2 linked regions of the Medicago truncatula genome follow. The protein of the gene in region 1 interacts with the protein of each later gene in a pairwise test. Links are inferred from orthologs where the notes say so. Each region holds a gene or a part of one and is shown on either strand. Other genes may lie near its edges. The genes, in order: protein UNIFOLIATA and chromatin structure-remodeling complex protein SYD.

Region 1 (15,910 bases):
TTTATGTTATCCTTTGTAATAGAAATAATTTATACATGATCACTTATATTTATCCAAACACTGGCTCAATAATAAATACTTTTTATGTATGCAGGGTATGTAGTTTTCGCTCTTGAGAAACTAATTTCAAGGTATGTCTTTCCTTTTATTAATTAATTCATGTCTACATGTGCACACAAAAAAGAATTGTGAATCCAGTAAGAAGAATTGTAAATTTTGTAGCTTACACAACAATGTGACAGGATGCCACCAGGGGAAGAAAAGTTTGTATCTATTGCAGACATTAAGGGATGGGGTTACGCAAACAGCGACATACGCGGTTACCTCGGTGCTCTAACCATTCTACAAGATTACTATCCAGAGAGATTGGGAAAGTTGTTCATAGTACATGCACCTTACATGTTTATGAAAGTATGGAAAATTATTTACCCTTTCATTGATGACAATACCAAGAAGAAGGTAACACTTTTAAAATTGTTACTTGTTGTATGAAAATTGAGATGTTCTAGGAGCATAATGCATGTGTTGAATATGTTGCAGATAGTATTTGTTGAGAACAAGAAGCTGAAAGCAACATTGCTTGAAGAGATTGATGAGAGTCAGCTCCCAGAGATATATGGAGGCAAACTTCCATTAGTTCCAATACAAGATTCTTGATTAATTTATTAAAAACAAATAAATAAAGGAGAAGTTCTAATGTACTGTACTATTTGTTATGTAAGTTATATTGATTATCAATAAAAAATTTGTAGTAAAAAAATGCAAAAAGAATACTTTCAAATAATTAAAGGGTACAAATTCATGTATAGGTGCTCTGTTGCTGCCCCAAACATGTAACGAGTGCTGAAAGTGTGTAACACCATATAGAATAGAAAAATTGTACATTCAATCAAATACGATTATCCTTTTAAATTAAGTAACGTTATGGTTTATGTCATAGTCAAGATAAAAGATAGAAGCAATTATATCTTATCTAAATCAACTTTTTTTATATCTTATAAATTAAGTCAGTCATATTGTTTTGCTATTCGGTGAGATTGCTCTAGGACTTTGTGTCTTTAGGGAGTCTCAGTTATTATTGATCTGGTATGCAACTATGTCTCTGGTCTATCCAAGAAACCTCATTATATGTCTGTCATTCTCTTTTTTGGTAGCGGTAGTGCGTGTGTCTTATTGATGTTCGAGGGGGACCTTGTCTGAGCTCTTGCCTTTTCCCGTTTTTGATAACTTAAAGCCTTGTTGTTGTACAATTTTTCGGTGTTTTCAAGTTTCTTCTTTGTGTACATATTTTGCCATTTAAAAAAAAAACTTCAACTATATTCTAATCATCATATCCTACAATTATCCGATCTCTCATCATCATATCCTTCTATATTCTAATTCTTTTTTTTTTTGTCACAGAAATTATGTATTCTATCTTTTTTTTAAAGAATGTATTCTATTTTATATATGTTGATTAATTATTTTTTTTTACTCTTTAGACACAAAAATCAATAATTTTATATTCCCGCCAAAGTTCCAGATGCATTCTGTTTCTTGAGACATGATGAATTTGCTTCCGTTCAACCACAGTCCATAAGTATACCATGGAGAATATTTTTTTTTTTTTTTTTGTTGTTGAAAGAACCATGATATAGACTAGTTTTTTTTTTTTTTTTTTTTTTTTTTTACGGACGTTATATACTATTAGATTAGATGATGTGTTTAATAATTTTACATATACATTATGGAAATTGATCTTTAGAGTCACCTAACAATTGCTCATCAGAAGCTAGCAAAATGCCCCAAACTGTACATAATTATTGTTCGCTCATGAACGGTACTTAACTCTCATTCTGATGGAATTATATTCGGAAAAGCTGAAAAACCAAGCAAACAATAATATGTATATGACAACATCTGAACAGTTCAGAAGGCAACGATAGTTAACTATCATTGGTGCCGTTTTTAAAAATTTAAGTTGTTAGTTAGCAATTGTTAGATGTTTAAAGAACAATTTTCATACATTATTCGGCTGATTCAATGAATCCAATATGCAAATCTACTACAGGCCATCCCAAGCAGGTAAAATAAGGGCCTCAGGCCCTAAATTTGTAGTTTATCTCACTCTTTCATTGTGTTGCAATTGTTTCAAACTCAATGTCGATTTTTTGTTTTTGTTTTTGTTTTTAGACAAAATTAAACAATTTGTCCCTTCACTTACTTTTGAGCAACAATTTCGTCTTTATCTTCTTTTTTCTTTCTTTCTTTCTGATTTCATCTTTTATGTTATAATAAGGTTACACTTTCGCCCTTTTTCTTTTTCTTTTTCAATTTTAATCATTTATGTTATAAAATACCAACATTGTTATTCATTTTTATAGAATTTTTCAATGAAATTTGAGTTTCTATGTTTGTATGATGAAGATTCGAGTTTGTTTATGAGTTTGATGAATCTTTTAAAAGTTCTAATAATGATTTTTTTTTCATAAAACAAAGGATAACAAATAGCATAAAGGACTTAATTGGAAAATGAAAAAGATAAAAGAAGAAAATGTTACATATTTATAAAATAAATGATTAAATAAAAAATTAAAGGACGAAAGTGTTGCTTGAAATTAGTTAATGGACGAAGTTTTTATCTTCAATGTAAATCAATTACTCTTTTTCAATTTGATAAAATTTCCATTTATAGTCATTTTTTAATGAATGTAAAATAAACAAGTGTGTCAAACTTACATGTGGGATAAAGGAAAAGTTAATAAAGAATTACAAAGATTAAATAAATTAACTTTAGTATATATGATCAATAATGTCACAATAAAGATTAAATTAACATAAATGATAAACAAACACAAATACAACACTAATACCATATTCCACTGTTCTCTATCACTCGCCGACGGCCTCTTTCTCATCGTTGTCGTTCTCTGACGGCGTGAGGGAGACAACCCATATGTTGTTATTGAACGAATCACTATGTGAGAAGGACCAGGGTCTGAGTCCGGCCCGAATAAAGGAGAATCAATAAACTCCGATCCCGATTGCTTCGGCGATGTGAAAGTGGTGCAAGAGTACAAATCTGAAAGGCAATGGATATTTGGCCGGAAAACGAGAAGAAGAAGTTATGGGAGGTGGTCGGAGTCAACACGTTAAGAAGTTGGAGTGAACACGGAAGAATTTGGAGAAGAAGGGTGAGGAAGAAGTTCCGGTGGTGGTGGAATGGAGAAAAAGATGAAGAGAGGGGTCGAAGAGAGCAGAGAAGGAGAGGAAGATAGGAATGGAATGCCAAAGTTGTCCCTATGTTTTAAAGTCAAAATTACTTATTTGCTCATGGTGTCCAGTATTTGTCAAAAAACATGTTCATCTATGTTAAATGAATTCTCCGTATGAGTTTAATTCAGTTGACAAAGACGATGTATTGTACTCCATCCAATCCTATTTATCCTCATTTTAAAATGAAATATTGAATAAAACCAACTACAATATTTTTAAGAAAATACTTTGTATCTCAGAAAATAAGAAACTTAACATTAAAATAAAATTTTATTATTAACCATAAAGAAAAAAACTCTATCAAATTCTTGCTTTATATAATTAGCTTTAGAGGACATTGAATTTCGTACACATCAAAATTTTAAAAGAAACCAAACCATAGACCAAACTAAACATATTCAGGTAAGTGATTCCTCAAAAAAAAAAATGGGTGATAAAATGTGGGATTAAAATTAAACCTAATTACAGTTTAATCGGAGATCATTAGTTATATGAAACATCTTTTCTTTAAGAGGATGAAACCATCTTTTAGTGAAATTGAAAGTTAATCAAGAAATAATCTAATAGCTCTTAACAATGATTCATTTTTCTTTACAAAAAGGAAAGAACTTTGTCCATTGGGTCATTTGGGTGTGAGCTTCATAATTTCTCTTAAGAGTGTTAATTAAGTACGAAAGTTGAGATTTTTAAGAACTAAGCTATGAAGCAAAATGAAAAGGAAGTTGGGTAAATGCAAGTAAAACCGATAGTTTGAGTGAGTCTAAAACAAAATTGACAAGTGGTATTTATAGAATATATGACAAAGCACGTGATTGTGTTGCCAACAAAGACATGCTCAGAATGTTGCGAGTCCGTGAGAAGAAAAAACTAACATAATAATTAGGTGGCATTTAGGGTGGTTGAGGGCAAGAGTTTCCTACCATAGGAAAGTTCTTTTGAACCATTAGATTAGATAAAGAACATATCCTTATCATAGACATTCAATACATGATTATTTTTACTCTCCTCCGTATCTCTTTCACCCACCACCACTTGGAGCAATTTCACTCAACCCATTTAAGAACATTCTTCCATGCACTTTAGAATTTATGGTAGAGGTCGTAAAACAATTGCAGGTATTCAAAATATAGAAACACATATACACATTATAAAAAAAGTACAAAATACTTTAAAAAGAAACTCAAAAAATTCCTCAAAGGAGATCTAAAGTTGGCCGAAACATTTTGTTCAATTTTCTTTTATGAGATCTAAGGTTGTTCTTTGGTTCCTGCTTCAATTTTCTTTTGTTCTTTGTATAACATTCCTCAAAGGCCAAAAACAACAATTACTAATTACAATCTCAAACTAAACTATAGAGGAATAATCAACAAGACAACAAACAAATAAAAACAAAAATCAAAAGCTAGTTGTAAGGCATATTCAGCAACAGAGTCAAACTAAATTAAAATTTCTTATTATTAGTAAAAAAAAGAGACATCACGACCGGAAGCGGTGGCCGGAAACTTATCTGTCGTGGTGTGTGGTGGCTCTCCGGTCAAGATAGCCATAATGCAAGATGAAGTAGAACAGTAGAGGATCACGCTATGTAGAACACAAATCCAGTGAGGTTGGGGTAACATGAATCCGTGGTGGTGGGTGAGTTGCGGTAGAAGAGTGAAGGGTGGTGGAAGAAAGGGTGGATGACGGAGGTTAAAGACAAAATGAGAAAAGTTATGATGTGGACAGACCATGATAAGAATATGTTCTTAATTTGATCTAATAGTCAAAATCAAATTTTCCCATGGTAGGAAACTCTTTCCCTCACCCACCCTAAATGCCACCTAATAATTATCATATTAACATTTGTTATTAAAAAAGTCGGATAAATTTGCAAATAACGCATAAGTTTTTTAATGTTGTTGCGTCTAGATGATGGCCCACATTTTGTCATATTTGTCATGTTTTGTCATAGAACACAAGTTTGGGTCAAATTGTCTATTCCAAGTATTTTAGACGAATTATGACACCTCCACAACTTTGGTGAAACTCTTTTGCCTTAAGAAAGATTTAACTAACCCGTAATCTATGGTCGCTAGCTCGACATATCACTATTTAGTTATCTGAATATAAGCTAACCCTTAACTCGACTGTCATTCATTCTAGACTAACAATTTAGGTCATTTTATGTTTGCGTTTGGTTGTGCGGCGGTGGGAAGAATTAATTTTGGTAAAATTGATTTTGGTTAGAAATCATTTTGACTAAAATGATTTGTATTTGGATACATATGTAAAAGTGAATTATATATTTGTGTGTGAAAATTAATTGTGCAATTAAAAGCTACAAATCTTGACTACGACCAGAAGCAATTATAAAAACAAAATCGATTCTACTCGACAACAACCAAACATATCATAATCAACTTCGATCTTTCTAAAAATGGAACTAATAAACACCAATTTTCTCTTCAGTACAGATATCATGTCAGATTATCGACCTAGGCTAAGTAAACATGTCTCATATCCATTGCAATAAATAATTGACTTTTGAGGAATAACATTGACAATTGAATTTTACATGTACAGTTGTGGTTTGTCATCTTCCTCGACCAATATAATTGTACAAATATGATATCCAAAATTAAAATAGAAAACGAGAATTTACTAACAGTGCATGTGATCTCAAAATAGAAAACAAGAATTTCCTAACAGTGCATGTGATCTCTATTCATTACCTATATACAGTTGAACATAATGAATAGATACGAAGAGTCCAATAATCAGGTCCCTTGAATGAGAATTAGGAATCAAGGGTTAGAATACCTTCTAAACATACTTTCTTTAATCTAGTGAGACATTTTAAGGTTAAAATCCGAGCTAGAGAGTAGGGATCACATAAGAATTACAATAGACAAGATCTCAAAAATGGTGTACCAAACATGAGGTAGAAATAATGGATCTAGGGGCGGTTCTAAGGCCCGGCGACCCCGGGTACTCGCTCGGGCTCCGGGCCAAATTTTTTGCAATTTCTTGTGTAAATCCCTATGAATTTCTTATATAAACCCCTTATAAATTGGGCAATTTCTTTACATTTTTTATTATTTGCTTGCAATTTCTTATGTACGCCCTATAAATGTGTTGCAAATTTTTTTTTGCCCGGGCTTTACTATATTCCTGGCTCCGCCACTGAATGGATCATAATTGAGTAGAATCACACATCTAAACCATGTACAATAGTTTTATCTAAACCATGTACAATAGTTTTTTCATTCAACACCCACTTTTTCAATTCCCAACAATCATCTCTCTTATTTAACATTCATTCAACTTTTACCCTCAGCAATGGTTTTTCATTCAACACTTTACTCCACCACTTTTTATTTCTTATTTAATTTTATATTTTGTTTTTATAATTACATAATTACAATTATCGATTATAATTAAATTAAAAAAACACTTAACAATTTATTTTTGGAGAAAGACCAGCGCACCTGTCAGGCGTGTGTAGTGCACTCTCCCTACAAACCACTTGTTTTGCGCCACATCATCTTCAACTTGGCCCACCATTCTCCTATTCAACATGTTGAATGCATTCAACATCTCTCTCCTCCACATCATCATTCAACATACCATTGGAGCACTTCCACTTGTTGAAGGTTGCTTTCAACTCAACACCATTGGACATGGTCTAAGAACAGTTGAATTTCTGTTTCTTGCCCTTGATTTACTTTGCTTAGAAAAATGCAAGTTGGAGAGAGATAGAAAGAGTGAGAAGGATACTTATTGAAATTAACCGACAGCAATCAAAAGCTTGACATATCCACACAATTGACACATATATGATCATTGGTGACAACTCTCTTTGATACTTTATTCTCTCTCTTCATCTCTCTCTCTCTCTCTCTCTCTATATATATATATATATATTGTTATTGTCCAATTAGAAGGGAGGAAAAATGTTGTTACCCAAAATCATTTAAAATTGATTGTCAAAATATCATTCATCTTTAATCAATAAGTCTTCCATTGAGGATCAAGTAGTTTTTGACACTCGCTCTTCTATGCCTACTTCCTCAAATCATTGAGATACGTATAATTGGATTGAATCAAACCAAGTATAATGTTGGATGAGATTGTTCTTCTAAACCTAATCTAAACTACACTATAAACACTCCATTGTATCTGACATTGACACATATAATTCCATTGAATTATAAAAAAAAATCAAGTTATTAACAATATCGACGTGTCATTGTTTGTATCTTGTGCTTCATATATGGTAACCAGCGAGGTGACACCATGCACCCTCCACCTCACTTCACCTCTATTAATGGTTTATGGTAGCTCATGTGTTGGCATGGGTTGGAAATTGGAAGCAATGGTCTTCGAAAGTACACACACATCATGAATTAATCAGCCTTTTTTTTTCAACTTTACAGTGTTTGCTTTAAGACCAACTGGAACAACCTGCAACCCTTGCAGCTGTACGTACTTTGATCCCTGCATCACTGCTTCTGCTTCACATCTCGTCACTCATGAAATAGTAAATAGTAACCCCATTCTTTACTATCATTGTTTCCCCATTAATGTTTTTACTGTTTTTACGTCCTTTTTTTGTCTGTTTCCTTAACGAGCTAGTCTCTCTTCTGTATTACAAACAGCTAAAAACCTCAGTGAGATTTTCTCTGATTCCGTAACTCACCACTACAGTATCAGACACAAGAATCACTCGTGAATCCTCTGCCATCTACCTTTCTTCATTGTAATTCTCACCAAAAATAATTAATAATCAAATTTAATAATTTACCTTTAATTGTTTGGATTGATCACTAGTTACATTAAATCATAATAATAGGCAATAAGGAAAAGTAGCTTGTTGTTTTTCGGGTTACAAACTTACATGCATGCCTTTCACTGACCAGGACCTTACCAACTTTTCCTTATTATTTGCCGCCCTACCCTAAATATAATCATAATGATTGAACATTTGAACTAAATAACCCTAAAAAACCCTAGTATTCTTCATTTAATTAATTTGTTGTTGTTGTTGTTTAAGTAGGCTAATATATATAGGCTTTTACGACAACCCAAAGCATCAATTCATACTTTGTACAACACACAAGCATGCATATGACACATAAGAGCAAGCACAAAAAAAAAAATAACAGTCAAGTCAAATCAGAGGTCAAACCATATACACACAACACAACACAACTGACCCCATCTGGTCGGATATTATTATGGGTAACCACGTCTATCTATAGCCAGTTAAATTAGTTCGGTTTGTTTTGAGGCATTCCAGTTTCAAATCAAATACAGTTCTTAGTCTCACACACAACAAAAGGAAGTCTCCAACAAGCCCTAACCAGTCTTGGGAATAACACTATTTCCTTATAGTTTTGGAAAAACCATGTCAAACAAAGGGTAGTTTTGGAAAATCACGTTATCTTTCTTTCTCCACAGTAAATTTAACCACACCCTCACCACCTTTACGTTTTCTATATCTCCACCTAAACAGTACCATAAATCTTCCACTTCTCATAATTTTCCAAAACCTAACAAACATACACAAAGAAGTTAAAACAGTTTCATTGCTTACCATGGATCCCGACGCATTCACCGCCAGCCTATTCAAGTGGGACCCACGTACCGTCCTACCAACAGCTCCACCTCTCCGTCCCCAACTTCTCGACTACGCAGTCACCCCATCAACTGCTCCATCACCTTATTATCCAGCGAGATTACCAAGAGAACTTGGAGGTTTGGAGGAACTTTTCCAAGCTTATGGAATCAGATACTACACGGCGGCGAAGATAGCAGAGCTTGGTTTTACAGTGAGCACGCTGGTGGACATGAAGGATGATGAGCTTGATGACATGATGAACAGCCTTTCCCAGATTTTTCGTTGGGATCTTCTTGTTGGAGAGCGTTACGGCATCAAAGCTGCCATTAGAGCTGAACGGAGACGCCTTGATGAAGAGGAAATTAAACGCCGGGGTCTTCTTTCCGGCGATACCACCAACGCTCTCGATGCTCTCTCTCAAGAAGGTGCACAGTCATTTATAATAATTGACTCAAATTATTCTACTGTTATATTAAAATACTGTTCTAATATATTATTAAAGTCAACTATGATATTACAAATTTATAATATGAACCTCACTTTTTTTTCCTTTGTATATGAAAATGAACGATTAAAAGATGTATTATGTTGAAAAAACGGTACAATGATAGAAAAAATTATTTTAGAATTGACGTTATGAAATTGATAATTACATTGAATGCATGATCACTTATACATTGATCCTGTGGTAACAAATATAATCAAGTAGTAACTAATCACAAATAATTTGTGACATGACAGCCTTATAGAATATTCAATTCTCAAATGTCAACTATATATAATTAATATGCTTAGGTTTGTCGGAGGAGCCGGTGGTGCAGCGAGAGAAGGAGGCGGTGGGAAGCGGAGGAGGGAGTACTTGGGAGGTAGCTGTGGTGGAGGAGAGGAGAAAGAGGCAGCAAATAAGGAGGAGAAGGATGAAGATGAAGGGAAATGGTGATCATGGTGAGAATGAAGAAGGAGACGAGGAGGAAGAAGATAACATCAGTGGTGGCGGTGAGAGACAAAGAGAACATCCATTCATTGTGACAGAGCCTGGGGAAGTTGCACGTGGCAAAAAGAACGGTCTAGATTATCTTTTTCATCTCTATGAACAATGTCGTGAGTTCTTGATTCAGGTTCAAGCAATTGCTAAGGAACGCGGTGAGAAATGCCCTACCAAGGTATACTATACCATGCCCGAACAACATTTTTCATATATATTTTAATTGAATTTGTTGTACTTTCTCGTCATATCTATGTGGATCTATCTTCTTCTGAATCTGACTCTGACTTGAAACCAGTCAGATTCCTGTGTTGTGTAGTAGTGTATAGTTCCTTCACGAACCGTTTGAACAGTACTTTCTTGCCGTGACACGTTCATCCGAACACGTGACGACTCAGGGACTCTCCTAATGGGTCCCATCACAACTTCCCATTCAACTGGGATTTTCATATGATCATATATCTCCGTTCCGTACACTTTGTTTGTATTTATTCATTTATTTATTTTCCGGTCACAAACTAGAACCATAACAAAATAATGCATGCATTTTATTATCCGGATCTTAGCTTACCCTCATAATCAAAATACATATCCATGAAATTTTGATACTACGTTGTGTATATGGGGTCTACTTATAATAAATAAATAAATGATACATGATTAATAACTTTGAGTGAGTGTAGGTGACAAATCAGGTATTTAGGTATGCAAAGAAAGCTGGAGCAAGCTACATAAACAAGCCAAAAATGAGACACTACGTGCACTGTTATGCATTGCATTGTTTAGATGAAGAGGTATCAAATGAGCTTAGAAGAGGGTTTAAGGAAAGAGGAGAGAATGTTGGTGCATGGAGACAAGCATGTTACAAGCCACTTGTAGCAATAGCTGCACGTCAAGGATGGGATATTGATGCAATATTCAACGCACATCCTCGTCTTTCAATATGGTATGTGCCAACAAAACTTCGTCAGCTTTGTCATGCTGAGAGGAACAGTGCTGCTGCTTCAAGCTCCGTCTCTGTTGGAACTGCTCACCTTCCTTTTTAAGTTAGACTTCAAATTCTATCACGCTCGCATGCATCTTTCTGTACTTTGATGATCAGGAATGGATGGATCATCGATGTATGTGTTATTTCTAGGATTATTATTTGTGTAGTACAAGTGGAAATGTAGAACCTTCCTCATATATATCGACTGGAATGTAGTAATCTCATTTTAGCTAGAGGACTTTTCTTAGTTATTATTGAAGGAAAAAATTAATATAAGGTTTCTTTATGCACCTCATAAATAATTTGCTTGCTTGGGTTACAAATTGATTCTCTGCGGTAATTTTTTTAAGCTTTCACGCAATTACAACATGTAAATATTAACTAGATGAACTTTGTCATAACCCTAATTTCTAGCATATTAAAAAAATATAATTAATTTTTTGATGTTAATACAAATAAGCACAAAGGTAAAAACTTAATAAAAATTGGAGAGAAATAGTAATTCTCAATAGAGAAATGATATTTTAACAACCATTTTTTTACAATTTTTTTGACAACTTTTTCTCTCATTCACATTATCTTTTTACTTTCTCTCTCTATTGATTTGGTTTTTGTGCCACTACCTCATTTCCTTTGTAAAATTTTGGTATATATGGATGTTCAAATAACACAACTCTTCTCAATAATATATAAACAGAAGTTTAAGACTATGTTTGGATTGGTGGTATGGGATGGAATGGTATGGAATGAGATTAAAGAATGAGTGAAGTTTAGCATGGGAAAGGCTAATTTTTCCCACTATGGGAAAGTTAGTTTTTAACCATTAGATCAAATCAAGAACACATCCTTACCATACTCCCTCATCACTAGATTTTGTAATTTTATTATTTTAAAACCATTTTTTAAAAACAAAAAATATATTTCGAAATTAAAATAAACATATAAAAATAAAAAATTAATTTAAAAATATGGAAATTAATTTTCCAAAATTTTAAAAAATATAAATAATTTTTTTGAAATAAACTTGTTTTCAAAAATTTTAATTATGATTTTCGAAGATTTAATTAAGTTTTTTGAAAAAAACTTGCTCAAAAAAAAAATTGGAAAATTAATTTCCAAAATTAAGTTTATTTTTTATTTTTAAATGTTTATTTTAATTTTGAAATATTTTTTTTGTTTTTAAAAAATAGTTTTAAAATAATAAAATTAAAAAATCTAGTGATGAGGGAGTATGGTAAGGATGTGTTCTTGGTTTGATCTAATGGTTAAAAACTAACTTTCCCATGGTGGGAAAAATTAGCCTTTCCCATTCTAAATTTCACCTAAAGAATGTACCATTCCATTGCTTGGATTTGAAAATAAAGATGGAATGGAATTGAACATGGTGGGATGTATTCCATCCTATTCCATTATTTCTCTCAATTTTCATTCCCCCCAAATCGAGAGGTATGGGATGGAACCACTCCATTAAATTTTAAAATGACTTACATACCCTCTTCTTTTAATATCACTCACCACCATTACCTAGCTAGTTGTGTTCTTTCTCCTTTCTTGTTTGTGTCATCTTCTCTTCCGCGTAACCTCGTGTACATGCATCATAATTTTATCTCCACTTGCATATTCCTACTTTGCTAATTTGAAAATCTGCGACACGCAGTAATCTGTTTTCACAATGTGTAAATAAATATTCTCTTTACAATTATTTTGCCGCATGTAACTTGTCACAGTTCCATGGCTGTGCTAATTTACTTTGGATACACATAACTTGTTCAATTGGTTTGTTTTTGCACACTACACAATCATGTTAATTTGTTGCACCAAATTAAACTTATGAGTTCATCATGGCAAAAGAAAAAATTTATGAACTTTACAGCACTGAACTTTACAATCTAAATATTAGAAGTTTAATAATAATTCAATCAAAATCTTTGTTTTTTAATTCGTCAAACAATTGCTTATTTGATTATAATGACAATTTTTAAAATAAAATTCACTATTAATTAATTAATAATCACCTTTAATAATGGCGTTTATAAGTTTAGAATATGTTTCAATTTTACATAATGTTGTTTTTACAATTGAGGGTAATAAAGTAATTAAAAATTATAAGTATTCCATTCCGTTTAATTTTCCAAACGATGGAAGGGGAACTTTGTCTCATTCCATTATAAAACATCCAAATGATGGAATGGGAAATTTATTTCATTCTATTCCGCTCCGTTCCATTCCGTTCCATCCCACTCCACTGATTTTATACTATCCAAACAAAGCCTAATAGTTCGTTATAATAATATTATATGAATGGACCATACATCCGTCCATGGTTCTAACAGAAGATAAATTTGACTTTTTACCTATATATACCTTGCCCATACATTTCTAGCAACACCTTAGACCTAAATCTTTAGTTATCAAAATTCTCCATATCATTTTATAAATTGGTGAATAATGTTAACTCATTTTTAATAGGCTAAAATATGGTTTTGGTCCCTGCAAATATGCCTCGTTTTGGTTTTAGTTCCTGCAAAAAAAATTTGTTGTTTTTGGTCCCTACAAATATGTCTCATTTTGGTTTTGGTCCCTGGCTCCACTTTTGTGATAATTTGCACACGTGGCACATGATGACTGAACCATTTATTAGATAAATAGTCCCTGCAAAATCTTTTGATTTTGTAAAAGATCCCTGCAAAATATTTTGTTTTTGGAAATAGTCCCTGCAGGGACTATTTCCAAAAAAATAATATTTTGCAGGGACCAAAAACAACAATTTTTTTTTACAGGGACTAAAACCAAAACGAGGCATATTTGCAGAGACCAAAACCATATTTTAGCCTTTTTAATATACTCTCTTTTATTTGTTAAAATCTTTGTTGACCTTACTAAAATTTATACGAAATTGATATAGTTTGATAAGATCCATATAAACTTTAACCAATTAATAGTGTTAGAAATATATATTAAAAGATGTGTTGTTAGCATATAAAAAAAATCATGATAGATTTTCGCCATATGAATCACGAAATAAGTTAAGCTTATATATCTACATACAATGATTGTTACTCCATCTATTTAGTTGTTGTTTTAAGATTATTTTTACATACCAATAATATCAAGAAATTTTGTTACTTTCGATAGAATTACTTCTTTTAATTTTTATTTGTAGATGAAGTGATAAACACCACTTGAAACTTACACGTAACTGTAAGGACTTAGATTTAAATTTAAGTGAAAGTGTCAAAACAAACAATTCAATTTTGTTAATTGTATTAGATCTTACATATATATTTGCCTTTTTTTGTATAACACTCTTATCTATTAGTTATCTCGTTCTATAAATTTTTTTCTCTATATGATAAATATTTTAAGAGTGTTATTAAGAAAATAATAATAATGTTACGTTGAACTTTAATGTTATAATAATAAATTGATCGAAAGTTATTATCTAATGGAAAAAGATCTAATTGAAAGTTATGATCTAATTAATAGAATATTTATGATATGATGATAAATCAAAAAGCTTTTGAGCAAAACTGAAGGACTCGATACAATTCTATTTAGAATTCTGCTCTTCTCCCATCACGTTTGCTTGAATTAACTCGCGTAGGAGTTAAACATGAAAAAACACCCGCTTGAGTTAACTCACGTAGAGATTAACACTAGCGTGAGTTAACTCACGCAGGGGCATTTTTGAAAGTTTGGAGAGAAAAACGTGCTGGGAGAAGAACAAAAGATTTCTGCTCTCCCCAGCACAAAACACTCGCGCCCTGCAATGTTGCTGAAAATGCCCTTGCATTAGTTAACTAACGGAAGTGTAAAACTATACATGACTTAATTTTTACACATGCGTGACTTAAATCACGCTAGTTTACAATTTCCAAAAGAACAGCTACATCAGTTTATATGCACAGCAATAACAAGGGGTTGGAACGACCCATAATTAATTGGGTAAATATCTCTTTTCGTCCCCGTAATATTAGCAAATTCCGGTTTCAGTCCCTATAAAATAAAAGATTTAGATTTTGTCCCTGTAATTTCAGATTCTTCCACTTTTTGTCCCTCCTTTCATCACGTCAACAGAATCTGTATAAATTACGTCCTTGTAATTTCAGATTCCTCCCACTTTTGTTCCCTGTAATTTCATATTCCTCCACTTTTGATCCCTCATTTTACATGCCATGTATGCAGATTCTGCTTACGTGGTGGAATGAGGGACCAAAAGTGGAAGAATATGAAATTATAGGGACTAAATCTAAATCTTTTTTTTACAGGAACTAAAACCGAAATTCGCTAATATTACAGGGACGAAACGATATATTTACCCTAATTAATTTCTATCAATGGAAATTCAATTCAAAAAGTCAAGCCTTGCACGGTATATTACGACACCGGTGGTGATAATAACAATTCATAATTGGGATTGAAGTGAAAAGCGCAACAATCAGGACATACATGAATAAAGAGGAAGCAACTAAATTGGAATAAAAGGATAACAATAAGAAACTGGATTTTGATAATATAGACTTTGAACTTGATTCAAAAATCACTCGAGATGTTTTTTACTTCCGTACGGTCGACGTTGCAGAATTTGGAAATATTATTGACGCGTGTTGAGAGATTTTTTTCAACCTCCTTTACAAACTTCTGGATAGAGTTTATTAGGCGACAAGCGAATTCGGCGGCTCATGCTTTAGCAAGAGAAGCCACTTCCCTAGCTAGTCCCATTATTTATTATGCAATCTCATTATGTATTGAACCTATTATTATTAATGAAATGCTATAAACATCTTTTCTTCAAAAAAAAAAAAAAGAAACTGGAATTTGGAATCAGTAATCACTGCGTGAATTCAAATGGAAAAATATTTATGCAGAAATTCTATTGTAAATTCCTGCGTGAGTTAACTCACGCAAGTGTTAATTCCAACGTGAGTTAAGTTGCGTGGCGTTAGTTAACTAACGTAGGGGTATTTTGAGCAAGGCTGCAGAGCGCGAGCGAAAAGTGCAGGAGAAGAGCAGAATTCTTAACAAAATTCTTCTATTTACTATTTAAGGCCCAGTCCATTTTCAAGAGAGACGTGTTTCTTCC
Region 2 (16,423 bases), on another chromosome or scaffold:
TACTGGTTTATTGTTTGCAAATCACTGGAATTTTATGGTTTAATTTGTGGTTTATTTTAAATTTGATTGTGATATTTCTTATGCTAATTCACATTCAACAGGTACCTGGTGCCAGATTCTCTAACCCAATTTCAGTTTCCCGTTCAGTTAAGGGGGAATGCCTTTCCATCCATTACATTGCAGTCTAGGGTACCTCGTTTTCAAGTTACATGTGTTGTAAGTTCCTCTAAACTCTTTTACTATATTTTATTTTATTTTAGGATTAATTATGTTTTTTCTGTCTGCAAATATACAAGTTTTTGTTTTTGTTTTTTAATTTGATCCATAATGTTTTGTTTTGTTTTATTCCATGTATGTATGCATAACATTTGATTTTTGTAGACTAAAGTTATTAAATTAATATTACGTACATATTATAAGGATCAATTTCAATGTGAACAAATTTAAGCTGAACTAGAATAAAACAACAATGAACAAAAGCAAAAAAGTTCTGTATGGATTGTTTGGGATCACTTAAATGAAAGATATATTATTCACTTGTAGTAAACTCTATACTTATTTTTATAGTATAATTATAAAATTACTAAATTGTTGCTAGTTCAGAAGAGGATAATGGATTTGGTGTGGTATCACACATTTTGATTTGTTTCACTCGTTGTCTTGATTCAGTTAACTGCTCAATGAAGAGATTTTAATTTTTTCTAATAAAAATTGATTTATTGATTCCACAGTATATTTGTTGTTGGAATTATCAATGGTTGCTTGTACTTCTAATACTTAATTTAATTCTGTGTGGTATTTATTTGGACTATATTTGCATTATTTGTTGTGATATAAACGATGTGAATTTAATATGAGGCCAAAGCAGAAACTGTAAAGAAGGTGTGTGACATTGTCAAAAAATACAACTGGCATTGCCAAATGAGTCCTCTGTCACTGGAGAGTCCAAATTTTCTGCACTTGGAGCTGACTCTCTCGACACAGTATTGACATATTCACAAATTTTGTCTATGAATTCTTGTCTATGCATAAAAGTGTAACTCATGCATTCACAATTCACAACACTTGATTGTATTGTATCTATTTTTATTTTATTACCTTATCTACGTGTGTGGTAATGTACTTCTTGGTTTCTGAGCTCTAATGCTATCTTGTTGTTTTTGGTGATTAGTTTTCACTTGTCAGAAATACTCAATCCATTTCTCATTAGGTTGTTATTTCATTCTATCTGTTTGTTTCATGTTTAAAACCAGAAGACAGTTATGGCGTTTTTATGCACTTTTGCTGCCAATTTTGAATAACATCTTTTTCTAGGCTATTAACTATCCTTTAGTATATTGTTGTGGCAAATGCATACACATATAACATTGTTGACTAATTTAATTTTATTCCCTTCTCTATTTAGAATATCATTTGGACATTATGGTTTTTAATCTACTTGGAAAATTGTAATTAAAATGTATTTTGAGTCCCTTCTTGCCTCTTGAACCACTTAAGTTGCCTAAGCGGAAACTTCAGCATGATTCTACATTTGAGAAAAATGATAACATAGCCTCTGTTATTTATCTTTTATAGTTTTTTTTTAAACTTATTTAGACTTGTTAAATTTCCTGTAGGTTGAGATTGTAATGGGACTTGAGGAGGAATTTGGTATTAGTGTTGAAGAAGAAAGTGCCCAGTCCATTACCACCGTCCAAGAAGCAGCATACATGATTGATAATCTTCTTGAAAGCAAGAGTGCACCTAGAACAAAGACACACATGCATTTTAGGGTTTTTATATTTTTGTGTGAGGGGTTTTTTAATTTTATCTTAGGAATTTCAGTTTGATTACTCTTCAAGAAACTGTTAAATCTTTTCTGAACTCATAGAATTATTGCATTACTAGTTTTATTTATGTAGAATCTGTGGCTCTCATCAACTATGAAATGAAATCTATCTGTTTAAGTGTTTTATGTGCTCCTCTATTACAAAGCTTTTTCTTCCATTCTTCTTCAAGGCCTTTGAGGCTCGATATGATGTCTATTACGCGGAGGGTTTAATCTTCTACAGTGCCTCGTGCCTCTGTTTCCTACTATAATTTCCTTATATCTTCAGAGAGGAAGAAATTTTATTCCACCATTCATTATATTTATTTTATTAGGTGTATGATCCCTCATAGGGTTGGACAAGATTTATGGAAACCGCCCAAACCGCCCGTTTCGAATAACCCGCAAGTAGGCGGGTCGGTTTAAGCGGGTCAATCGGTTTATTCGGATTGACAGAAACGGATATGTGTGGCTTATTTCAGTCGGTTTCAGTTTGGTGAAATCAAACCATAATAACCCATATCCCACCGCTGCATAGTTTCTTGAATAGATAAATCACAGTAGAGCGGTAGTCTAGCAGACTAGCAAGTGCTTTTTCCCTATATTTTTTTTTCTAGTATCCACACAATATTACTGACACACTCCACCTTTGCAGTCCCATCTTTCTATACTTTTGTACATCCACTAGTTTTTTTAAATCATTTTTTACTTGGTTGAATAAAATAATAAGTATTCTTAGGCAGACCACTTCAATACTCCATCTCACCACACCTCACTGTCACCCTCACCCACTCTTCCTCTTTCTTCTCCCTCTCTCGCAGACTCACAACACCAACCTTCTTTTTTAGTTCCTTCTTTTTCTCTACAACAAAACCCCAACCTCACAACCTTTGGTAACCTCCCAATGTCTTGATGTGTCAATTCATATATACTCTTGCATGCTAGAACTTTGCTCTAAACCTTCAACTACTTCACTATCATTTCTATTGTGAGCATTTTTGAAGTCATGCATCTTCCTTTGTTTTAATCTTATTTTTTTATTTACTTTTGTTTCTTTCTATTTTTGTTTGTGGAGATTTAGAGATACTTATGGAACCTAAAAACCGCCCGAAACTACCTGTAACCCAAAATAACCGAATTCGAGCAAACCGACTTCTCATACGGACGAAAATGGATGCATGTATAGCAACCGTGGTTATGAACGGAATTTCATTTCTCAACCGAATACCGACCGTTGTCCACCCCTAATCCCTCATATTAAAATATAGAGTTGTTGTAGTTAATTAAGGAAAAATTACGGCAGCATGTGGGATGGTCCAACAAGAATTTGGTGAAGTGAAAACTATTTATATAAGGTAGGGCAAGTATTAATGCTAGTATTATTATATTTAGACTTTTATAAATTATATATTTGTTACGCGGCTTGCCCACATATTTAGGGCAACATTATTGGTCCAACAAAAATTTGGTTCAGTAAGAACTATTTTAATGACATAAAATAACCAATATAACATTTACTAAATTATAGTTTTGTACTTTCTTCGTTCAAAAACATACCTTGTGATTCCTATTACTTATTTAGAAAATCATCGAGTGCGAGATAAGCAAGTCTTTCTCAGTTTTATAAATGTTTACAAAGGTTGTGGGAGTGTTCAAAACAATCAAAGTAAGTGGAACTTGACAAATTATTATCACTTTATTCGTGTGTCATGTTTATAGCACCATTAATGAAAGTGGCCGTTCGCAAGGGGCATGTTTCAAGCAAATGATGCACAGTGGATAAAGGAAACAGAAAATACCGCGATGGAGAGAATATCAAGCCAAACCTGGAGCACCACTTACTCATAGCAGGTGGAAAAATCACACATTGTCCATGAAAATAAATAACACCTTATGATCTTTACGAGTTTCACCCTATGAAGTTTGAATACGTAGTACAGATGCGAGTACGATACGAAACATATACATGAATATATAAGTTTTTAAAAATTTAGGATACGATACGGCTAAGATATATTAACAAAAAAATGTATTAAAACTTGGACAAAATTACACAATTTATCCCCTAACTTAATTTTTGGAAACACTTTCGTCATTTTTTTTCTTCCAATTTAATAATTTATGTTATAAAATGTCAATATTCTATGATTTTTTATGGGGTTTTTTCAATGAAATATAAATTTCTATGTTTGTATGATGAAGATTTGAGTTTATTTATGAGTTAGATGAATTTTTTTATAAGTTTTTTTTTCTTTCGAGTTTTTGATTCATATACTTTTTAATAACAATGTTGATATTTTATAACATAAATGATTAAATTAGGAAAAAAATAAAATAAAGGACATAAGTATTACCTTATTATAATATAAATGATTAACTGGGAAAAAAAGAAGAAGATAGAAGACGAAAGTGATACTTTTTTGTGTGTAAAGAAAACGAAAATGTTACTTGAAATTAAATTAATTGACGAATTGTGTAATTTTGTTTAAAACTTGCGTGCATGTAAAATACATGAAAAAAAGGTGCATTGATTTCTATGATTTCTATTCATTAATATATAACTATAAAGTTCCCAATATACAAAAAGGATAATACTTGTGATCAAAATACGAGGTGTGGAGTTTTCGTATAAATCATAATTTCATTTCATTTCCATGCTAATACTATATTAACATAAGTAGAGCTAAAAGAGCTTAAAACAAGTTTTGCATATTTAGAGCGACCGACAACATATTTAACCGTAATAATACTCTTCTATACTATATATAAAGAAAATAGCACATTTTGATAGGATTTTGAGCTGGCTTTTTTATTATTCCAATTATACTTTTAAACGTTTTTTTTTTATAATAAGCTATATTGTTGGTGTTTTTAAAAAAAAGATAAGAATTTTTATTATGTGTAGTGATATTTGAACAACTTATGTGACAACTTCTTTTCTCTCTCTTTTTATTGGTCAAAAACAATGGAGAGAGAAAGAGGAAGAGAGAGAATAAGAGTCTAATGTGAGTATAAGAGAGAAAGTTGTCAAAAGATTGTCATAAATGGTTGTACAAATATCATTTCTCTTTTATTATATTTTTGCAGTCATTGAAAAAGATAAATATGGTTTGTTGAGTTAAAGTCACAAATATAATAAAAATTCTTCTATAGAATCTATTTTTAAAAGTTTTTTTTGGTGGGGTGGGGGTGAGGATACTAGGAAAATAGCATGGATAAAATGGGAATCTATTTGTGTTCCAAAGGAGGATGTGGAGGGTTGGGGGTTAGGAGGTTGGGAGAGTTTAATTTGTCCTTGTTGGGGAATGGTGTTAGCGGATGTTGGTGGATAAAGAGGGGTTATAGTACCGTGTTTTAAAAGCACGTTATGGTGAGGAGGGTGGTCGTTTGAAGGAGGTGGCAGGTTAGGCTCGTCTTGGTGGAGGATGTTATGTAATGTTCGTGAGAGAGTTGGTGAGGGAGTGGGAAATTGGTTTGAAGGTAACATTCGACGGGTTGTGGGAGATGGTCGTAGTACCTCATTTTGGTTCGATCATTGGGTCGGGGATTCGCCTTTGCGACTCAAATTTCCTCGACTTTTTGATTTGGCTATAAATAAGGAGTGTGCAGTGGCTGAGGTGGAGAGAGATGGGTGGGGCGAAGGAGGAAGAGGGTGGGCTTGGAGACGTCGTTTGCTAGTATGGGAGGAGGAGAGTGTGAGGGAGTGTTCATTATTATTACATAACTTTGTTTTACAGGTTAATGTTACTGATTCATGGAGATGGGCACTTGATACCATTCACGGATATTCGGTGCGGGAGGCTTATCACTTTAGCACTTGATACAATGTCTGGCATCGGCACATACCGACAAATGTATCTATGTTTGCGTGGCGCCTTCTTCGCAATCGCCTTCCGACTCAAGACAATTTGCTATGGAGGAATACAGGTTCTACGTGTGTGGCCGGTTGTGAGACTTTAGAAACAGCCCGCCACTTATTTTTATCATGCGGTACATCATCTACGTTGTGGTCTTATATGTTCACTTGGTTAAGCTTGCATACGGTAATCCCTTATGACTTACGTGACCATCATTTTCAGTTTTGTTACATAGCGGGACTACCGCGTAGTACTCATTCTTATTTGCAAGGTATATAGTATGCTTGTGTCTGGGTGATATGGAAAGACAGAAACGAGCATATATTCCAAAATGAAGCATCACATCCGTATGTTCTGTTTGAGAAAATCAAGTTAAATTCTTTTGTGTGGATGAAAGCAAGGAACATCCCTTTTAATTATTGTTATTATGATTGTTCGACACATCCTCTCCTTTATACGAGTGTTCTTCACCATTAATTTATTTTGATAGTTTTTTGGGGAGCCTTTCAGTGTGTGGCTCTTTGTTTATGTAAATATTGACCGGTGATTCACTTTTGCACGTCTTGTGCAGGTGCTTCACCAGTGTTATTAATATATATCATTTTAACTTGTGAAAAAAATAAAATTACAATGACATTAAAATTAAAATTACAATAACATTAATATTACAATGACATTAATCAAGCAATTGTAAATTAAATAACCGCGGGTGTAAAATATATTCACATCGTCGATGCATTTGAATTAAATCAGAAAGTTCAAAAATCAAAACCAATGGTACAAAACAAAAAAAAAAACAGGGGATTCAAAGTGGACATATAATAGGATTTTAGGTGCTAATGTAAAAAATTGAGGCGTGGCTCCACCACCGACTCCGGCTGCCATGCAGCTATGAAGGGTGAGTTTGATGCATACCCAATACAGAGAAAAATTAAACGATGGCGTGTTCTATACAATATTTGTTAAAGAGGAAGGATTTCAAAGAGAAATATGAAGCATATTTACGGCCAATTCACAAAGTTTAGATAGAAATATACGTTGCGGTTTAATACAGGTGCAACAATACACTTGGCTTAAACAATAATGAACGATATAGTTGGCTTAAAATCCAAAAAATAAAGGCTTAAAATCCCAAAAATAAATAATCATCGTGAGCATATCTAGAGACATGCATTGTTATATGCAGGTGATCCGGGTTCGAATCGCGGACTCTTCACTTATTTATCTTGGCGAATTTTAGCCACTGGATTACCTGACAAAAAAATATCCTAAAAAAAAATATAGTTGGCTTAAACAATAATCAGGGTAATTAATTGATATTCAGCCTTATGTTGGTTTAAAAAATGTTAGTCTTTCCTTCTTCAACCATTATGTTTAAGCGGATTACATTAAATTTAACTTAAAAATTAAAAAATTTTGAGACGCTTTTGAAAGTACATTTGTATAAGTCAAGCCATGATATTAATTAGATTTGATTGGTAACTCCTAAACGAATAAGGTTGGCCTATGTAAACAAAAACAAAAAAGAATAAGGCTGACCTAAAAAAAATTTATTTTTAGATCACAAGGTACGAATTTAAGTCAGATTTATGAAACTCCATTAAGTCGGATTTGATTGGTGACTCTCCATTTTTAGGTCCTCTAAATACAATTATGAAAGAAAATGAATAAGGTTTAGAGGGACCAAAATTTGACGGAAATTTGTATCCGTCTTTAACTTTTTTTTTAAAGATTGTCGTAAATGAATATATTTTTTTATTGATAATGCTACCATATAAGTTCAAATTTGACATTAATTAGTTTTGACTCATTAATCCTAAGTAAATAAAATTGACGAAACATGTATTCGGTAGTTGAATGCAATTGAGTTGAGTTTATGTTGTATAAGTCATAATTTCGTAAACTTAATCTTCAAAGACTGCTTTTATCAGCTAACTAGCTTGAACTAGTCTTTTAGGATGGTTTTGGGTATTTAATTAGATTTAACTTATAATTTTTTTTTTGTACACATTTAACTTATAATTATTACCATAATACATGAATGAATCCGACCATAACTCTAATTTGTTTAGTGGATTTAACGATATAAATACCACATACTCAATACTTATGTTCATTGATACCTTGTCATGATTTTCCTTTACCCCCATATCATGTTTCTTCTCCTGCATTAGTTTGTTCTTCGTTTTTTTTTATTACTTGGTTTTACATTTTCAAAAAGGAAATAGAGTTTAATCAAGTTATTGAGTTCAAATGATTATTATCTTGGTATCGGCCGACGTTCAAGTACACATATGTTCCAAAGGGCTCCTCACGAAAGGAGTCCACATGGCCTTGACATGGGAACAAAGAGAACCAAAAGAGAATAGTTAAAAAGGTCAAAGGCACAAAAGTCCACGAGACCAAATATGAACACCCAGTAAGATTCACGACACCAATCTACTAGGAACCAAACACTTGCAGTTGTCTCTCAAAGGACCATGATTGTCCTTCTAGAACAATTGTCCACGTAAAGGTACAAGGACCAAGTCCTTAAACCTCCACTATAAATATTTTGCTTATATGCCCGAGTTCAGTTAGATTCACTTTTCACATGTACACTTATCGTCCCACGCCACCTTGAGTGTTGGAGCACATGGAGGTACACCACCCTCATTCATCAGGAGAAGAAGCTTGCAAACGACAAAGAAGAAGACCGCAATTGACGGAAGTAGGTACTAAAAGGTCATTCAACGACATCAACTCAATGATCTCAAGTCCAACAAAATCAATTATTGAGCTTAAACAGAAAACAATTTGTTAAGTAGAACCTAATTCTAAGTGTCGAATAAAACAATTATTGATAAGACTTTAATTTCTTCAAAGAAACTTCAAATTATTATTATAGTCTTTCTGGAAAATCAATATCATAAACTTCAATTATTGCATTTTAATTTTTTATATAGTTTGGTAATTAAAATGGAGAGTTTCATACCATTTCAATTTTTCACAAGCTTAATGAACGTAACGTAAGCCGTTCACACGAAAAGAGCTTGCACTCGTGCGAAACTTTGCGCTGTGTTTGGTTTTTATTTTTTATTTATTACGCCAAAAATAACAAAAACCCGTTTTTGGTTTCATTTTCTTCTTCTTCTTCTTCACACACCGTGAGCAGCTGAACCTGAAACCAGATTTTGAGACTCGTCTCTTTCATCTCTGATCCGGTAATTCTTTCTCACTCCCTTTTTCTCTCAATCAGATTTTGAGACTCTCCCCTCTTTCTCATTTACCATTTCACCCACTTTTCAATTTTTCTGCAAATTTGTTTTGATTCGCCGATTTCAGCTGACTCAGCTCTAATTTCTTCTATTTTGCTAATATTCACCAAGGTTTTAGGTCATTTTTTCATGTTTCACAGTGTTAATCAACGATTTCTTATTTTAGGACTTTCGTTTAAAGCCAGGGTTTTTCTTTCTGGGTTTTTTTTTTTACTATGAAAGAACAAATTGGGTTCATCTATTTATCTAATTTTAGATTTTGGGGTAGTTTTATTCATTACTTGGTTTTTTGATAACTTTAAGGCAGGGTACTAGGTAGAACATTGAACGTTGTTAGCACTTTATTATGGTTATATATGTCTCAGATGCTGGGAAAAACAATTTCTTGCATGTTTTGTTATGTATTCTTAATTAATGTTTTCCTTTTTTTTTTTTTGGTTTGGGAGTGTAGCATAAAATTTATTGGTTTATCTTAGTGTCAGTATTGGAACTATGTTGTGCATTTTTGTTGAGTTTGGTCATACAATCATTATAAGTTGGTTCTCATTATTAGTTCAAAGATTACAAGTTGAGACTTATTCCGTTTTTATGTTGGGCCTAACTCATCCTTACAAAACCGTCTTTGTAAGATTGAGTTTGGCTCAACCCAAATTCTAAGATGGTATCAGAGCCTATCCAAGATCCGTTGGACCACCTGCTTTTAGGTTTCCGCTATCGAACCACTTGGGTCACACTCCAAATGTTCAGTTCTGGGTTTGAGGGTGTGTGTTAAGATTCTCACATTGGATGAGATATGGTCTGATCATGGGTTGTTACTTGTTAAGCCCAACCCAAATTATAAGAAGACTATCCTGAATTTTTCGGTTGATTTGGAGTTTGTATCACAATACTTTGCTTGTGCAGGACAAATGAGATGGCATCTCCACAGAATGTCGAGTTGGAGGCTGCCAAGTTTCTGCATAAACTTATTCAAGATTCTAAAGATGAGCCAGTCAAGTTGGCTACTAAACTCTATGTGGTGTGTGCTGTTTCTTCTTCCATGAATTTCTTCAATTATTCTCTTACCCCTTATAAAATTAGGCTTACTTGCAATTGATTTGATGAGTGTTTCAGATACTACAACATATGAAATCCAGCGGAAAGGAACATTCAATGCCATATCAAGTGATATCAAGGTAAAACATTTGAAACTCAGTACTCAAACTTGTTCGTATATAGGAATTCAATTATTTAGCCCTATGGCTCTTTTTGTAGTGAGCTAAGATAGTAGAATTGAAAATCTTATGCATATTGTCCTTATAAGGACACACAGTTACTTCTGAAATTATCATTTCCCAACAGTTAAAATATCAACTATCGGGGTGATGGAAAATGGAATAATAATGGGAAAGGTTTGTTGAATTGCATTGTGTGCAAGCTGGTCAATGGCGATGGATGTTTGTTAGGCTTGGGAGCCTCTTCCTAAACAAAGTACGATTGTGAATTTGTTTAGTTCAGTTTGAATAATATGCTTGAAGCTGACAGCTTCTTCCATGAGAACACCTTTATTTGATTGATTGGCTTAGCAAATGGATCATTAACTTAATTGTCAAATCATCTTCTGGACTTATTTTTTTTTTAGTGCGTTGGTGATTGTAGTGAAGCATATACATATCATTCTTAGCATTAGACCATATTTTGTTTTTCTTAATTAATGCTGTTTGGTGCATATCACTGTTTCCTCTTACTTAATGCTGCTTGTAATAGGGCAATGGAGACTGTCATCAACCAACATGGCCTTGATATTGAAGCACTGAAGTCGTCACGTCTTCCTTTGACTGGTGTTCCGCAGATAGGTAATTATGCTTGTTTTAATACTGTTTGAAGAGTATTTGTGATAATTTTTCAGTTGATTTAATTTCCATTTGTGGTTTATGCAGGATCTTCTTCACAAGCAGTGGGTGGTGCAAAAGATTCCAGACCAAGTTTGGCTGAAAGCGAGGCTCCCAAAATGGAACCCTTTACTTCTGGTCGACCACCAATTGCCCCAACTGGCGGAGCTCCTGATTATTATCAAGGATCTGTAGCTCAGAGGAGTAATCAATCTTTTGATCAAGAAAGTCCATCTAGTTTGGATTCTAGGTCTGCTAACTCACTGTCACAAGATAAACGTGATACTGTCATTTGGGACAAACAGGCGAATCAAAAGGATGGTAAGAAAGGTAACACAAAAAGAAAGAGGGGTGATTCCACATCACCTGTGGAAATGCATGTTGACAGTTCTTCTCTAGTAGAACCTCGCAACACTGGTGTTAATACAAGGAAGGGGAAAATGACCAAGACTGAACCATCAGATGGTATTCCAGCTAAAAGTGGTGAAATGACAAACTTTAGCGTGGTTCCAAATAACAGTCAAATGGAGAATATTTCAACTTTTTCTGGAAACATGAAAACAATGCTTAGGGCAAACCCAGAAGGTCATCATTTATTGGCAAAGCAAACTGATTCGACAAATATTGGCAATCCAACGGGGCGGGCTCCAAATTCAAAGTATCCAGAAGACTTGGAAGTTTCCTCTGCTCATATTGCTCCTGGGAAGCAGCAAGGTGGTTCTTAACTTTTACACATGTAATTAGAGGTGCATGAATCAAAATAAAGATAGATAACCTTTTAAAAAATATTTATACTAGTAAGGGAAAATTTCAAGTATTATTCATGATGCAACTTGATCAATCGACTATGCACTTTTGTTTGAGAACTGATGACTATCTAGAATATTTATACCTAAATGCCAAGTCCTACTATTTGATTGGTGAAATTTGAGAGAAAACATTGTAGAAGAGTTTATGAATTAAATATAGTCAATAGAATTGAATAATTTATCCGAGTGGAGATTATTTTACCCCGGGTTCTTATACCAATCATGGCTGTTCCTTAATCATTTGATTGTCATATGCCTCAGTTCTGTTCTGAAGTTATTTTTTAATGCTGTGAGATACTTCTCTTTTTACATATGGATATTTCTACTAATGTTAAATAATGGGGAGAATGATAGAATCAATTTTACTAGAAAAAACTATAATTTTGAATTTTGTACCCACGAATATTCATAGAAAGAATGCTTTGAATTTCAGGTGCATATGCTAGGGTTCATGGAGGGATGGTGGTTCCTGCTAATGTGTCTGCAATGAACGAACCAGTTTTCTCAAGTTCCATGCAATATGGTGTTCCTCTTAATCGTGATGGGGGGAGTTCAAATACTTTAGCTGATGGGCATCAAATATCTCAGGTACTTGTTACTCATTACTATATGCTTCTGGATTTGTCTTGTAGCTCTACTTTTTCATCTTGATATACTCATGTAATTTAGTTGAAACTTATTTACTTCTGTTGCTCTCTTTTATTATGTAGCTTGTATATGATTGGTTGATCAGATAATTTTATTGGCAGATTGGCAGGCAAAATAGTGGCTCAGAAATGACTATGCTTAGACAAGGTGTTCCCCCTAGAGATACAGGAAAATCCCCAGTTCCTGCTGCATCATCTACTATGCCTTTCAAAGAAAACCAGTTAAAACAACTTCGAGCTCAGTGCCTTGTTTTTCTAGCTTTTAGGTAGATATTGTTCTGCTATCTTTTTTATTTGAAAAAATGGACAGAATTTTATGTTGAGCTTTATATGAAACATTATTGTTCTATGTGCAGAAATGGTTTACCGCCAAAGAAACTACATCTTGAAGTTGCATTTGGAACCTTTTTTGCTAGAGAAGGTGACTGATATTTATATTTTACTTAACATTATCAAAGATCTTCACCGGCTAACTGGTATATGCAATGTGATGTTAATACAGATGGTTCTAATAAAGATTCAAATGACCCCAAAGGAAAATCACAGTCTTTTAGTGAGCCTGGTAACATGCCAGGTGTCATAATGCCATTTGGAAGTTCGAGCAATCTAAGACCGACTGATAAAAATCCTTCAGGGTCCTCTGCTGGAAAATTTTTAGAGGCTGAATCTTTTATGAAGGGAACTGATGGCACAAGATTGTTAGAAGACAAAGGTAACCTTCATTCTGACATCCAGACACCTTCAGAAGACAGCAAACATCTTGCCGCAAAAAGAGATGTTGAGAGACGAATCCAAGAAAGAGTCGCTGCACAATCTTCTTCAGCTACTCCATATCAGCAGAAAGATTCTTCAAGTTCAAGGGGTATTGTAGTTGGTAACAGTAATTTGGATGATAGTGACAATGGTATCTTGACGGCTGGAAGAGCTAACCAACCTTCTGTTGTAGGCCCTAATAACTGGACTGGATTTGCTGGTCCTAGCGAGGCTTCAAAGGGACCTCCACAGGTCTCTACTTCTCAACATGAGTTACCTATAGAAAGAAGAGAGAATATTCCTACTCACTTTCAGAGTGTTGTCAACAGTCGTGGTTCCTGGAATCCCAATTCTGTTAATCACTTGACTTCTTATTCTTTGAAAGAGCACTGGAAACCTGTTCCAGGGATTGATAGCAATCACCACGGAGGAGTAACCACGATGAATGGAAATGTATTGGGCAAAAATGTTTCTGCAGGTGAAAGCCATTGTCAATTATGTCATGTTTTTTTGTTGTTGAAGAGGATCAATTATGTCATATCATTACAATCAGTTTGTTGACGCTTAACTTTTCTGTGTCACTTCAAGTGTTAATGATACATGGATTCCTGAATGTTAAGAGCAATTACTGGCTGATTTATCAAAACAGTTCCAGTTGATTATGTATCTAAAAATGACATATTTTTTGCTACAGAGCAAGGAGGAAATGATAAGTTAGCATCAGCTGATTTGCCATCTAAAAAATTTACAATGTCAGAGAGATGGATTATGGATCAGCAGAAAAAGAGGCTTCTAGTTCAGCAAAATTGGATGCAAAAACAGCAGAAAGCAAAGGAAAGAATGACAACATGTTTTCACAAGTTAAAGGTTTGCCTTTTTATTGTAACTTAATAGCAGTTTTCACCCCCAACTTTCACAAAGTTGCGATTTTGGCCCCCTAAGAAAAAAAACTACAAAACCGCCCCTTAAGTTTTGCAACTGTTGTAGTTTTGGCCCCCCAAGGCTAAAAAAAATAACATGTGGCACCTCGCTTAGGGTGCCACGTCAGCGTAGACCAAGTCAAAATTGGCCTTGGGGGCCAAAACTGCCACAAGGGGGGCCTTAGGGGGCGGTTTTGTAGTTTTTTTTCTTAGGGGGCCAAAATCGCAACTTGGGAAAGTTAGGGGGTTAAAACTGCTATTAAGCCCTTAATATATTCTCCGTGCACATTCAATATATGGTTGGCAATAATTGGATGTTGCATAAACATTGTTGGTCTGTTGTTCATTCCTTGTGATCTAGGAAAATGTGAGCTCATGCGAAGATATTTCTGCTAAGACAAAAAGTGTCATAGAGTTGAAAAAACTTCAACTATTAGATCTTCAACGTCGACTTCGGAGGTAATGTGTATTTTTATATGAATGAATTTGTTATTTTGTTCAACTCACAGTTTGACATTATATTTTTCCTTTGTGGGCAGTGATTTTCTGAACGATTTCTTCAAACCAGTTACATCTGAGTTGGAACATTTGAAATCATTTAAGAAAAACAGGCATGGTAGGAGAGTCAAACAACTTGAAAGGTATGAGCTGAAAATGAAGGAAGAGCGGCAGAAACGGATTCGTGAGAGGCAGAAGGAGTTTTTCACTGAGATAGAAGTTCACAAGTATGTTCCTTATTTACCTTTTTCTACATGCTTTTTCCATCTCTTTAATTTTTCTAATGCATTGTGTTAGGGTTCTATGAAAGAACAAAATAGAGGAAAGGGGATTGTTCATCCCTGCAGATTTATTGATAGAAAAAAAAGAAAGTTACATAGGAAGATACTCCCCTGACACTTCTGAAATTCTCCAGTCAACTAATCAAAGCCAACAATCTTATATGGACATCCTATATAGGAGTATCTATGTATGGACATCCTGTACAAAAGGAAAGGGAGGAAAGATCTAAAGCAACTAACTCCTAAATCCTGGGATAACTAACCATTCCTAAATATCCCCATTAACTGACTCCCAACAGAAAACACAAAACAACTAACACACAAATATAAGGATAACTAACAGAAATTAACTCATAATTATCCTAACCTTTTCCTATAATACACTTTTAGAAGTTGAGTTTCTGTTCTATTACTATTATCAATAACATCATCTAACAAATTGTATTTGGATAACCATTATTCACTATTATCTGCACTCTTTGCCTCAAATACTTGCATTATTACTTGAAATTTAGGGAAAAACTTGATGATGTATTCAAAATCAAGAGAGAACGGTGGAAGGGTGTCAATAGATATGTGAAGGAATTCCATAAAAGAAAGGAACGTATTCATCGTGAAAAAATTGATAGAATCCAGCGGGAGAAGATTAATTTGCTAAAAATAAACGACGTGGAAGGTTATCTTCGTATGGTGCAGGTAGGTTTATTTTCTTATTATATTAATAGATACATGACATGCATTGAAGTTTGCATTCTTAACATTGAATTATGTCTTCATTGCCACATAAGGATGCAAAATCAGATCGTGTGAAGCAACTCCTTAAAGCGACTGAAAAGTACCTTCAAAAGCTTGGGTCTAAGCTACAGGAAGCAAAGGCTGCTGCAGAACGTTCAGGGCAGGACGTTGATGAGGGAGGAAGTACCAATTTTCTTGAGAATAGTGAAACTACTTTGGTAGACGAGGATGAAAGTGATCAGGCTAAGGCAAGTTTGCCACACACATCCCAATATTAAGTTGAAGTCTTATTTCTTAAATATGTCGGTGATTTTTTCAAATTCTGTTTCACAGCATTACATGGAAAGTAACGAGAAGTATTATAAGATGGCCCACAGGTATCAGTTCTGCTCTTATGTTTTTTGGTACTGATAGGTAGCTATATTGAACTTTTATTATTAATGAAAGGATGAAAAGCACCGGAGATTGAGGAGTTTTGGTGGTTTTTTTTAGTTTCAAAGATTTAAAGTGTTGAGTTGGTCATGGTCTATTGGTTCCATCAATCCATAAATATATTATTGAAATTCATACTCATACTATGTTGAATATTTTTTATGACCTGATTCATGCTAAGCAATTTTTTTCCTTCCTGCAGTGTAAAGGAGAGCATTGCAGAGCAGCCATCTATTCTGCATGGCGGAAAATTAAGAGAGTATGTGAAAACTGTTTTTATTTTCATATGATTTACTCAACATCTATTTGTATCTTCCATTGAAGATCTAAGTTTTTATTCTCTTACTCCTTGTGATTTTAATTTTGTCTGTAGATATCAAATGAATGGTCTGAGGTGGTTGGTTTCGCTATACAACAATCATTTGAATGGAATCCTTGCGGATGAAATGGGTCTGGGTAAAACAGTTCAGGTAATCAATTATGTTAACTGATTAGATTTTATATATACTTAAGTGGGTTCCTATTTGTTTTTTTTTTGTCCTCTTTCCAATACTAG

Evidence for each region.
Region 2: the proteins of protein UNIFOLIATA (region 1) and chromatin structure-remodeling complex protein SYD interact in binary tests that used the Arabidopsis thaliana proteins (3 or more experiments, as listed by UniProt). The link is inferred for Medicago truncatula from reciprocal best matches to the Arabidopsis thaliana genes LFY and SYD.

What each region holds. Positions count from the first base shown.
Region 1 is NC_053044.1:48,434,085-48,449,994, forward strand, and holds protein UNIFOLIATA, read left to right. Parts: upstream 1-8,461; 5' UTR 8,462-8,831; coding exon 8,832-9,279; intron 9,280-9,649; coding exon 9,650-10,017; intron 10,018-10,522; coding exon 10,523-10,885; 3' UTR 10,886-11,060; downstream 11,061-15,910. Other genes in the region: phosphatidylinositol transfer protein 3, read left to right, coding at 95-131, 243-459, 541-657. UniProt on the Arabidopsis thaliana protein: Probable transcription factor that promotes early floral meristem identity in synergy with APETALA1.
Region 2 is NC_053045.1:57,322,898-57,339,320, reverse strand, and holds the start of chromatin structure-remodeling complex protein SYD, read left to right. Parts: upstream 1-8,711; 5' UTR 8,712-8,867; intron 8,868-9,824; 5' UTR 9,825-9,834; coding exon 9,835-9,939; intron 9,940-10,034; coding exon 10,035-10,096; intron 10,097-10,667; coding exon 10,668-10,756; intron 10,757-10,840; coding exon 10,841-11,506; intron 11,507-12,034; coding exon 12,035-12,189; intron 12,190-12,350; coding exon 12,351-12,514; intron 12,515-12,604; coding exon 12,605-12,669; intron 12,670-12,750; coding exon 12,751-13,479; intron 13,480-13,695; coding exon 13,696-13,868; intron 13,869-14,282; coding exon 14,283-14,380; intron 14,381-14,460; coding exon 14,461-14,646; intron 14,647-15,215; coding exon 15,216-15,396; intron 15,397-15,488; coding exon 15,489-15,683; intron 15,684-15,768; coding exon 15,769-15,812; intron 15,813-16,069; coding exon 16,070-16,126; intron 16,127-16,240; coding exon 16,241-16,337; intron 16,338-16,423. UniProt on the Arabidopsis thaliana protein: Catalytic component of the chromatin structure-remodeling complex (RSC), which is involved in transcription regulation and nucleosome positioning.